Linked DNA regions of Tribolium castaneum. The protein of the gene in region 1 binds, or shares a complex with, the protein of each later gene. Links are inferred from orthologs where the notes say so. Each region holds a gene or a part of one and is shown in the gene's direction. Other genes may lie near its edges. The genes, in order: queuine tRNA-ribosyltransferase accessory subunit 2 and Tgt.

Region 1 (4,361 bases):
GCCAATTAATAAATGTAACAATTTCTAAACCAAAATCACAGTTTTCCTCCCGAAAGTTTGTGAAATTGTGCCGAAAATTCAATCAGTAAAAACACAAAATTTTGTCAAAGTTGCTGTTATTTTTACCGTTTTCAATAATTTAAAGACACTTTTAAAGCAAAAATCTTACAGTTTTTGCGATGATTACATTATTCTTGCCTTTTTTTTCTAAGACTAGCTCGTTTGTTATCCAGAAACACAATTATTTACAAAATGTAAGAAAAACAAGCAAATTAAGCCGAAAATACTGTTCTTCACCTTCTTCACGTCTTTAAGCACATTTTTGAGACAAACACAAAATTCTTTTTTAATTTTTTCGTGTTTTCTCTTTTGTAACTCAATAAAAAACTATTGTAAACAATGACCAAAAAATCACAAATAAAAACCTACCTCAGCTATGGCCCGTTCGGCGGCTTCCACCTTATCAAACGTGACAAACCCGCGACTAAAACCCAAACATGTAAAACCCCACATAAAAATTGTACCCCCTCATACTTTTTCTCAATCTCCATTGAAATATTCACAATATTTCCAATCGTTGAAAAATGCTTCTTCAAAAACTCCTCCGTTATCTTATACCCTGACACATAAATCGTATTCCCTTGCCTGGGTTTATCCGGCTTTTCCCTCTGTTTCTCAGTCAAACCCCTCTCTTCCCTATCACGCGCATTAGCAAAAGTATCATACAAATTCTTAATCCTTGGCGGCTTATTTTCGGGGTTATCAGGCCCATCGTCCATCTGCACAGCCGAAAAAGGCTGATAACCACTCACAATTTTATCCGAAATCAGTTTTCTTTCCAAGCCTCTAGGCCGTTTAAAGCCCTGTTCTGGCTGTTTTTGTTGTTTGGAAATGGCCGGAATGGCACCGGATTTGATAAGTTTTTTCGCAACCTCACGAGCATCTCGAGCCTCCGCTGGCCGTTTAGGCGTAATGGGCTTTTCGGGCTCGGGTTTGGGGGCTTTCAGGGCTTGCAAAGCCTTTTTCTGAGAGGAAGTTAGAAAAGGTTGTTTACACCGTTCCACTTACCTTTTTCTTAAGTTTCTGGTATTTGGCTTGGAGCATGAGCTCCTCTTCAGTGAAATTTGCCGGAAAATGAATGTAAACCATCGTTTAATCAAAAAAAAACTTGTCCAATTTGCAAACTGAATGACAGTTCGATGAATAAACATCAACACTAACAGCGGTTTAATGTGCAAAAGGTCGAAAATCACAGTACTAGTTCATAATTCAATTAATTTTAATTGTTTAATTTAGATAAACTATTCACTTTATAACCAATTCCAGTCAGCTAACTCAATGTCCAAAATTTAATACGCTAGTTATTTTTTTAATTCACGCAATACTGTACTGGGCCACTGTAAATTTCGATATGTCACACGTTGCCACACAAAAAATGCCAAAAAAACTACAAAACAACCACAATTAAATAATGAAAAAACTGGCAAAGTTTTGGTATATTAATGAATGAAATCATGTGAAGTTCGTTTTTAAAACGTAAATGAGTGTGTTTTTGCGCCCTGTCATCTATTTTTTCCCATTTGTGAGGCATGCAAAAGTAAGGTTAGGCCGGCATGTGTCCACTTTTTTCGGATTTTTGAATGTCATGTTTGCTTTATTTGTCAAAACCTAATTCTGGAAGTGATTTTAGTTGTATAGACTGCTTTTTCACACTTTTCCGAGTGCATTTAGTGTAAATTAACGATGAAATTTTACGTGGAATCTGTCTCAAAGTGTGCCCAACGTTTGGGGACTCTTTCAGAGATCGATGCCAAGCCTTCTGTCTCGATCAAGACTCCTGCAGTAATGCTCCACACACAGGTGAGTCCCCTATTTGGTTAACTGTCCTTAAAATTTAATTTAGGGCGGTCAAATCCCTCACATTACACATGAGGTGTTTAAACTGGTCAGTAGGGACCCCCAGATCTTGCAAATCCCTTTAGCTGGGATGCACACGTTTAAAGAGGCGATGCAGTATTACGAAGGGACCATTTCCAATTTCATTGGTAGTAAAGACAGTCTGACTTGTCTCACTCTTCAAGACCCTTGCAATATCACAAAACAGGGGCACAATTCCACGTTAAAAGTGCCCATTTGGACGAAAAACGGCAAGGTTTATTACGACGCTAAAAGCTACATGGACGTGGTGGAGTCTTTCAAGCCTGACATTTATTTCTTGCTCTCTGATGGAGACACCAATATCAGCAGTTCGGAAAAACGCATTTCAAAATCACTCAGTAACACAGTCAGTTTCTACAAGGAGTGTTTGGAGAGACACCGAAAATCGCAAACTTTAGCCAATTCGTTTGTGATTGCTCCTGTAGTGGGGGGTTATAAACAATTAGCTCGGGAAAAGTTTCTCAAATCGATTCTAGCAGATGTCAAAGATGTAGGTGGGTTTTTAATAGATGGACTTCATAATAATGGTCCCGAGACCGAGTTTTTGGAATTTGCTGAAATTGAGCCCGTGGTGAAAAATATTTTGGTATTTAACAACCGCTTCATTATTTCGAATTTTATGGTAATTTTTTTTTAGAATAAATTACCCACTGATAAACTACGGGTCATTCAAGGCTGTTGGAATCCCGTAAATGTTATTAATTTGGTCGAAATGGGGATTGATTTGTTTGACTCCTCATATTGTCATATTCTCACTGAAAGATCAGCAGCAATGACTTTTGCGATAGAACCAACAGATCAGACAGACACGTATGAAATAAATCTAAGAGACGCAAAGTAGGTACTTTTTGTTCAGTTAAATTTCTGATTAAATTGGTTCTAACATTATGTTGGCAATGATGATTTTTCAGGCTTTAGTAACAATAACTCACAAAGGAAAAGAGAGAATTTTGTTCAAAATTTAGTTAAAGGGTTGAAAAAACGAGTTTTTTTCGATAAAATTTGTGGTTCCCTTTATTTTTAACGAATTCTTGTGCTAAGTCGAAACAGCTAATATACAGCTGGAAAAAAACAATTTCGTTACAATTTAAGTGATTTTCGCGCAAAATAACGTTATTTTTGACAACATTTTGGGTTTTTTTGTATTACTTTTTTATGAAGTTTTGTTCAAGAAAATGAACCAAATGCAGCATATCACCAGAATTGACATTATTGTTGCCAACTTAATTCCAAAATCACAGCCCACTTTATCGAAATTTAATTGAATGCTTGGTGTATTTTCTCACAAAAAGTGTCAATTTTTTTCAGATATTTGGACGATTTTCAGCCAATTCTAACTGGTTGCAATTGCACGTCTTGCACAAAATATTCAAGGGCATACATACACCACTTGCTATCAGTACATGAGCTCCTGGGGCCAATCCTCGTGATGATGTGAATATTTTAATTAGAAGAAAAAATATAATTATGATTAATAATAATAATAATTTTCCAGACACAATGTGTACCACTATTTGCGATTTTTCGAAAAAATCCGCAAGTGCGTGAAATCAAACACCTTACAAGCACTCCAAGTGAGCATAACGGAACAATTCCAAAACCACCAAAAAACCAAGTGACGGGACACCAAATTGTACAAAATTTTCGTGTTGTACGACTGTTTTTCTATTATTTTTAAATAAATTGTCCGTTTGATAACTTGACTTAAGTCCCGCCCCCCTTACTTAACCTCGATTCGCAAAAAACAGCTGTTTTTTAAGGTTAAGTCATTCAGTTTGTTGTCTCCATTATTTACGTTTGTGCTCTAAATACTTAATTAAATGAATTATTTCACAATGAGTGATTTGTACAGTTAGTTGGTGTTAATTAATCGTGGCAGTTTTGAGGTTATGACTATTTTTAAACAATGGATCAGCAAAAATCAGAGATTAGCGATAAGTTAAGCCAACTTAAAGTGCAAGAAATGGGGCACCCACTTCAAGGGAACAATAATGAAGATTGTGAGACCGCTGAGGAGGCTATCACGACTGATTCTGAAGACTACCTATCAGAACCTTTAAGGTGAGTTATTTTACTTCAAAGAGTTGGAAATTAATTAGTGGACAGATATCGCAACTTCCAATATTCCACCACGACTTCCAATGATTCCAATTCAACACTAGTTGAAGAAAATTCGATTCCTGAAGAAAACGCCAATTTTTTCTCATACAACGGAGACAATCTCAACAATATACAAATTCCGATAGTTGGGTATGAGATTATGGAAGAAAGAGCGCGTTTTACGGTAATAAAATAAAATACCATTTTATCGTTTTAACGTGGAATAAAACAACGAATTTATCAAAAAAATGTAGGTTTACAAATTGCGCATTGAAAATAAAGTGAGTGGCGATTGCTGGTACGTTTTCCGGCGTTACACCGAC
Region 2 (3,704 bases), on another chromosome or scaffold:
ATCTATTCTGAGTTATTTTCTAGTTTTGTTTTATGTAAGTAATTAACTATTCGTCAGCGTGCTGACGAGTTGAGGCTGTTAATGGTTTTTCCTTAATTTAAAGTAGTTTAAATATCTTATTATGTGTGTATTAATGAATTTACCTATTACCTCAGAAAGATTAATTTTTATTGCAAAAGTCAACTGCTACAAATAGTAGCAGTACATAAAAAATGAATAAAAAATTTCTTTTTTTTAATAAAAAAAGTGCAAACATAACATAAAGATGACAGCATCAAAAAAAACTTCATAAAAACATAATCAAATACAAAAAAATAACCATTTGAATCAGGAACAAATTATTTAACAATGCTGAAGGTACTGCACATCAGCGACAAACCAAGTCGCTGCGTTAAAAAATAATAAGCAAATGCTATTTCTCAATATTCTCCAGTAGCATTTTTATGTATGTGTAGAACTGGAACTAAATTCCTCCATATCTAGCCGTAAATAAAAATAAAAAATGCACCACATTTCTTTATTTACTTCAAGGCGGAAGTGATGACGATATGTTGCTATGTTATTATTGTAAATGCATTGCATAACATGCGCTTTGTACAATATTTACAAGTGCAACAGCATAATAAAAAATACAAATGTGATGTTTTTTTCGCCAAAATTGTAATAATTCCTCAATTTTTGTGCAACTGTTTTGATTTAATGCACATTGTGTAAAAATAAATTGTGACCATGAATCATATGTTGCATCAAACGATGCTAGAGAGAAGCGACTTTAATGTTTTTTGTTGCGTAGTTTATTTACGACACAGCTTTAAATGCAATTATAGATAGGCTTCCCGTATGACTGTAATTGCCCATTTATTGTGTTTTTCTTGCAGCTAAAAATAATATGCTAATTATTTCATATAATTTTCTAGCACGATCATTCAGTCGCCCAGATTATCCTCGTTATAGATTTTTTATAAAATAAATAATAAAGCAGCACAAGTTTGTTTTTCAGCTTGGAAATGTATTTTTTTTGTATTGAGTTTTTTTTATTTTTAATGAATAGTGAATCTCATTGATTCACAATTCCTTTACAATACAGAAATTGTAATGTATTTTTATCTGCTATTTTGTTAAATAAATGCAGTTTGGAATGTTTGGATGTTGCTAATTTGAAACGGGATATTTAGCCTTGGATTTTATTACATAAATGTTAAGATCGTTAAAATGCATTGTGCAATAACACGTAATACAGGACATAACATAGATTAATAAAAAAACTGATTCTTCGTGTTTTTTTCTTTTTTATTCGAATTTTGCGGATTTTTCGCAACATTTGACTTTCGAGATCAAATCTACTGACAGTATATTATGAGGTTATGTGATTTTAACCTCAAAAATTCCTCATTTACAACACATTTTTATTTATTAAAAACAACATTTGCAACATTATGACCACAAAAAGTCCGCTAGTTTTCACACTCATTGCCGAATGCCACACCACAAAGGCCCGCGTAAGCCGCATGGTGTTGCCCCACGGCCCCGTTGACATGCCGGTATTCATGCCTGTTGGAACTCAGGTAGATAAATAGTAAATTCCCAATTATACGCCCTTTTCTAATTATTACGTAGGGAACCTTGAAAGGAATGTTGCCGGAACAGCTTGAAGAGCTCGGCCTCCAAATCATGCTTGCCAATACTTATCATTTAGGCACAAAACCAGTACGACACTCGCCAAAAATTAAATCAAGATTAAATTATCCATACTTGTAGGGTGTCGAAATTTTGGAAAAAGCCGGCGGTTTGCATAAATTTATGAACTGGAACAATTGTCTTTTGACGGATTCTGGGGGCTTCCAGATGGTGTCGTTGTTAAAATTGGCTGAAATCACAGAGGAGGGTGTACGTTTTCAGCCTCTGAATGACCAAAAGGCTGAAGTTATGTTGACACCCGAACATTCCATTGAAATTCAAAACGCAATCGGGGCTGACATAGTCATGCAATTGGATGATGTTGTCAGGACCACGAATCCAGATAAGGCGAGAATTGAGGAATCTGTGCACAGGTTTATTCAAAATTAAGATTTTACTTTAATAATCAAGTCACCCATGATTTATAGAACGACAAGGTGGCTTGATCGGTGTTTGCAAGCGCACAAAAAACCGGACACCCAAAGCATTTTTCCAATAGTACAAGGGACCCTCTATGAGGATTTACGTGAGATAAGCGCCAAAGATCACATCAAGAGACACGTCAATGGATATGCCATTGGTGGTCTAAGGTATTTATCAACAAATATTTTATCTAGTCTCAAATGACAGATAACTGGTTAATTTCACAACACTCTTGATATACGTTCTTTTAATCTTTTATAAAACACTTGCAGTGGAGGTGAAAGTAAAGACGATTTTTGGAAAATAGTCCACTTATGTACCAATATTTTACCAAAGGACAAACCCCGCTACTTGATGGGCGTTGGCTTTGCCGAAGATTTAGTAATTTGTTGCGCCTTAGGTTGCGACATGTTTGACTGTGTTTTTCCAACAAGGACGGCGGTAATTTACCGAATATAATAATTTTGTCCTAATAGAATTTTTTATAGAGGTTTGGTTGTGCATTAACGAGGACAGGTCAACTCAATTTAAAGAAAGAAAAATTCAAAAAAGACTTCAAACCTATTGATGAAAACTGTCCCTGTAAAACGTGTAAAAACTACACCAGAGCTTATCTGAATGGTGTTGTGACAGTGTACCCATCAGCCTGTCACCTAATCACTGAACATAACGTGGTCTTTCAAATGCGTTTGATGAAAGACATCAGAGAGAGTATCAAGCAAGACAAGTTCCCCGAATTTGTGCGCAAATTCATGTTGGACCTTTATCCAAATAAGGAGTATCCTACTTGGGTTAGGGACTCGTTAAGTGCGGTCAACATAAGCCTAACGGTATAAGTATTAATTTATTTTATACAATAAATAGAAAAAAAGAACGGAAGTATCTTATTTACATTAAGGAGTGTTACCGGTTTACATGAAGTCGTCTGAATCGTTCCCGTCGTCATACTTGGACATGTTTTCAGTGCTCATCAGAGAGTTGTAACTTTTTAACTCTGCCTCCTCCTTTTTCCGTTTCTCTTCCTCTTTTTCCCGCTCTTTTTGCTCCCTCAACACCTTCTTTTTGTCCTCCCTTTCTAATCTGTCTCTCTTCTCCCGCTCGGCTCTAAAATCTACCAAAAAATTGGGGAACACCAAGGGAAATTGACCCAGTACCTGGATGTTCCTCTCGTTTCGTTCGGTTCAGTCTATTTACAATTTCATTGACTCGTTTTGCGACTTTAATTTTCCTCACTTCTTTCTCTTTGTGGAAGCCAACTTGACCCACTTCCATGGCAGGCGTCTTCTTCAAATTGTGCCACATGGTGTAAACAACTTCAATATCGTTCATTTTGTTCCCCATTATGCTGTTGGCTTTCACTAACTGAGCAGCGTCTTCCAAAACCGAAGACGGAATATCGTCAATGGTCTGACCCTAAAAGACGATAATTAATTCACGTTAGGGAGATAAGGCCAAATTTACGGGTCGTAGTCTTAGATAGACGTGTGCTGAAGATACTTTATCAACGTGGAACCACACGTCCTCAGGCCAGCCCCATTTAATCAAATCTTCGTCTGCAAGTTCACAAATGAAACAAAAAAATTATCGGGTGAAATTCTCACTTT

The links.
Region 2: the proteins of queuine tRNA-ribosyltransferase accessory subunit 2 (region 1) and Tgt are in contact, whole or in part, in a crystal structure (PDB 7OVS), measured with the Mus musculus proteins. The link is inferred for Tribolium castaneum from reciprocal best matches to the Homo sapiens genes QTRT2 and QTRT1. Residues at the interface, in NP_001343258.1 of Mus musculus: Arg39, Thr40, Gly41, Ser42, Ala43, Pro44, His45, Leu46, Thr47, His48, Gln49, Thr50, Asn53, Glu70, His71, Glu73, Val74, Glu77, Tyr78, Phe85, Ile86, Gly87, Phe119, Gln342, Glu343, Phe345, Tyr355, Asn359, His360, Ala363; in NP_068688.2 of Mus musculus: Thr50, Thr53, Met54, Lys55, Gly56, Ile57, Thr58, Thr59, Glu60, Gln61, Ser64, Arg80, Pro81, Leu85, Lys88, Ala89, Phe95, Met96, Asn97, Ala307, Lys308, Phe310, Pro320, Thr324, His325, Ala328, Phe329, Ala332, Leu333, His335.

What each region holds. Positions count from the first base shown.
Region 1 is NC_087394.1:37,092,957-37,097,317, forward strand, and holds queuine tRNA-ribosyltransferase accessory subunit 2, read left to right. Parts: upstream 1-1,417; 5' UTR 1,418-1,743; coding exon 1,744-1,860; intron 1,861-1,903; coding exon 1,904-2,524; intron 2,525-2,575; coding exon 2,576-2,775; intron 2,776-3,246; coding exon 3,247-3,372; intron 3,373-3,433; coding exon 3,434-3,557; 3' UTR 3,558-3,636; downstream 3,637-4,361. Other genes in the region: Nelf-E (negative elongation factor E), read right to left, coding at 430-484, 535-1,025, 1,069-1,149; Snx16 (sorting nexin-16), read left to right, coding at 3,845-3,999, 4,045-4,222, 4,293-4,361. UniProt on the Homo sapiens protein: Non-catalytic subunit of the queuine tRNA-ribosyltransferase (TGT) that catalyzes the base-exchange of a guanine (G) residue with queuine (Q) at position 34 (anticodon wobble position) in tRNAs with GU(N) anticodons (tRNA-Asp, -Asn, -His and -Tyr), resulting in the hypermodified nucleoside queuosine (7-(((4,5-cis-dihydroxy-2-cyclopenten-1-yl)amino)methyl)-7-deazaguanosine).
Region 2 is NC_087398.1:8,185,575-8,189,278, forward strand, and holds Tgt (queuine tRNA-ribosyltransferase catalytic subunit), read left to right. Parts: upstream 1-1,325; 5' UTR 1,326-1,436; coding exon 1,437-1,565; intron 1,566-1,617; coding exon 1,618-1,707; intron 1,708-1,758; coding exon 1,759-2,051; intron 2,052-2,105; coding exon 2,106-2,267; intron 2,268-2,372; coding exon 2,373-2,541; intron 2,542-2,588; coding exon 2,589-2,936; 3' UTR 2,937-2,974; downstream 2,975-3,704. Other genes in the region: coiled-coil domain-containing protein 25, read right to left, coding at 3,012-3,211, 3,255-3,513, 3,562-3,653, 3,702-3,704.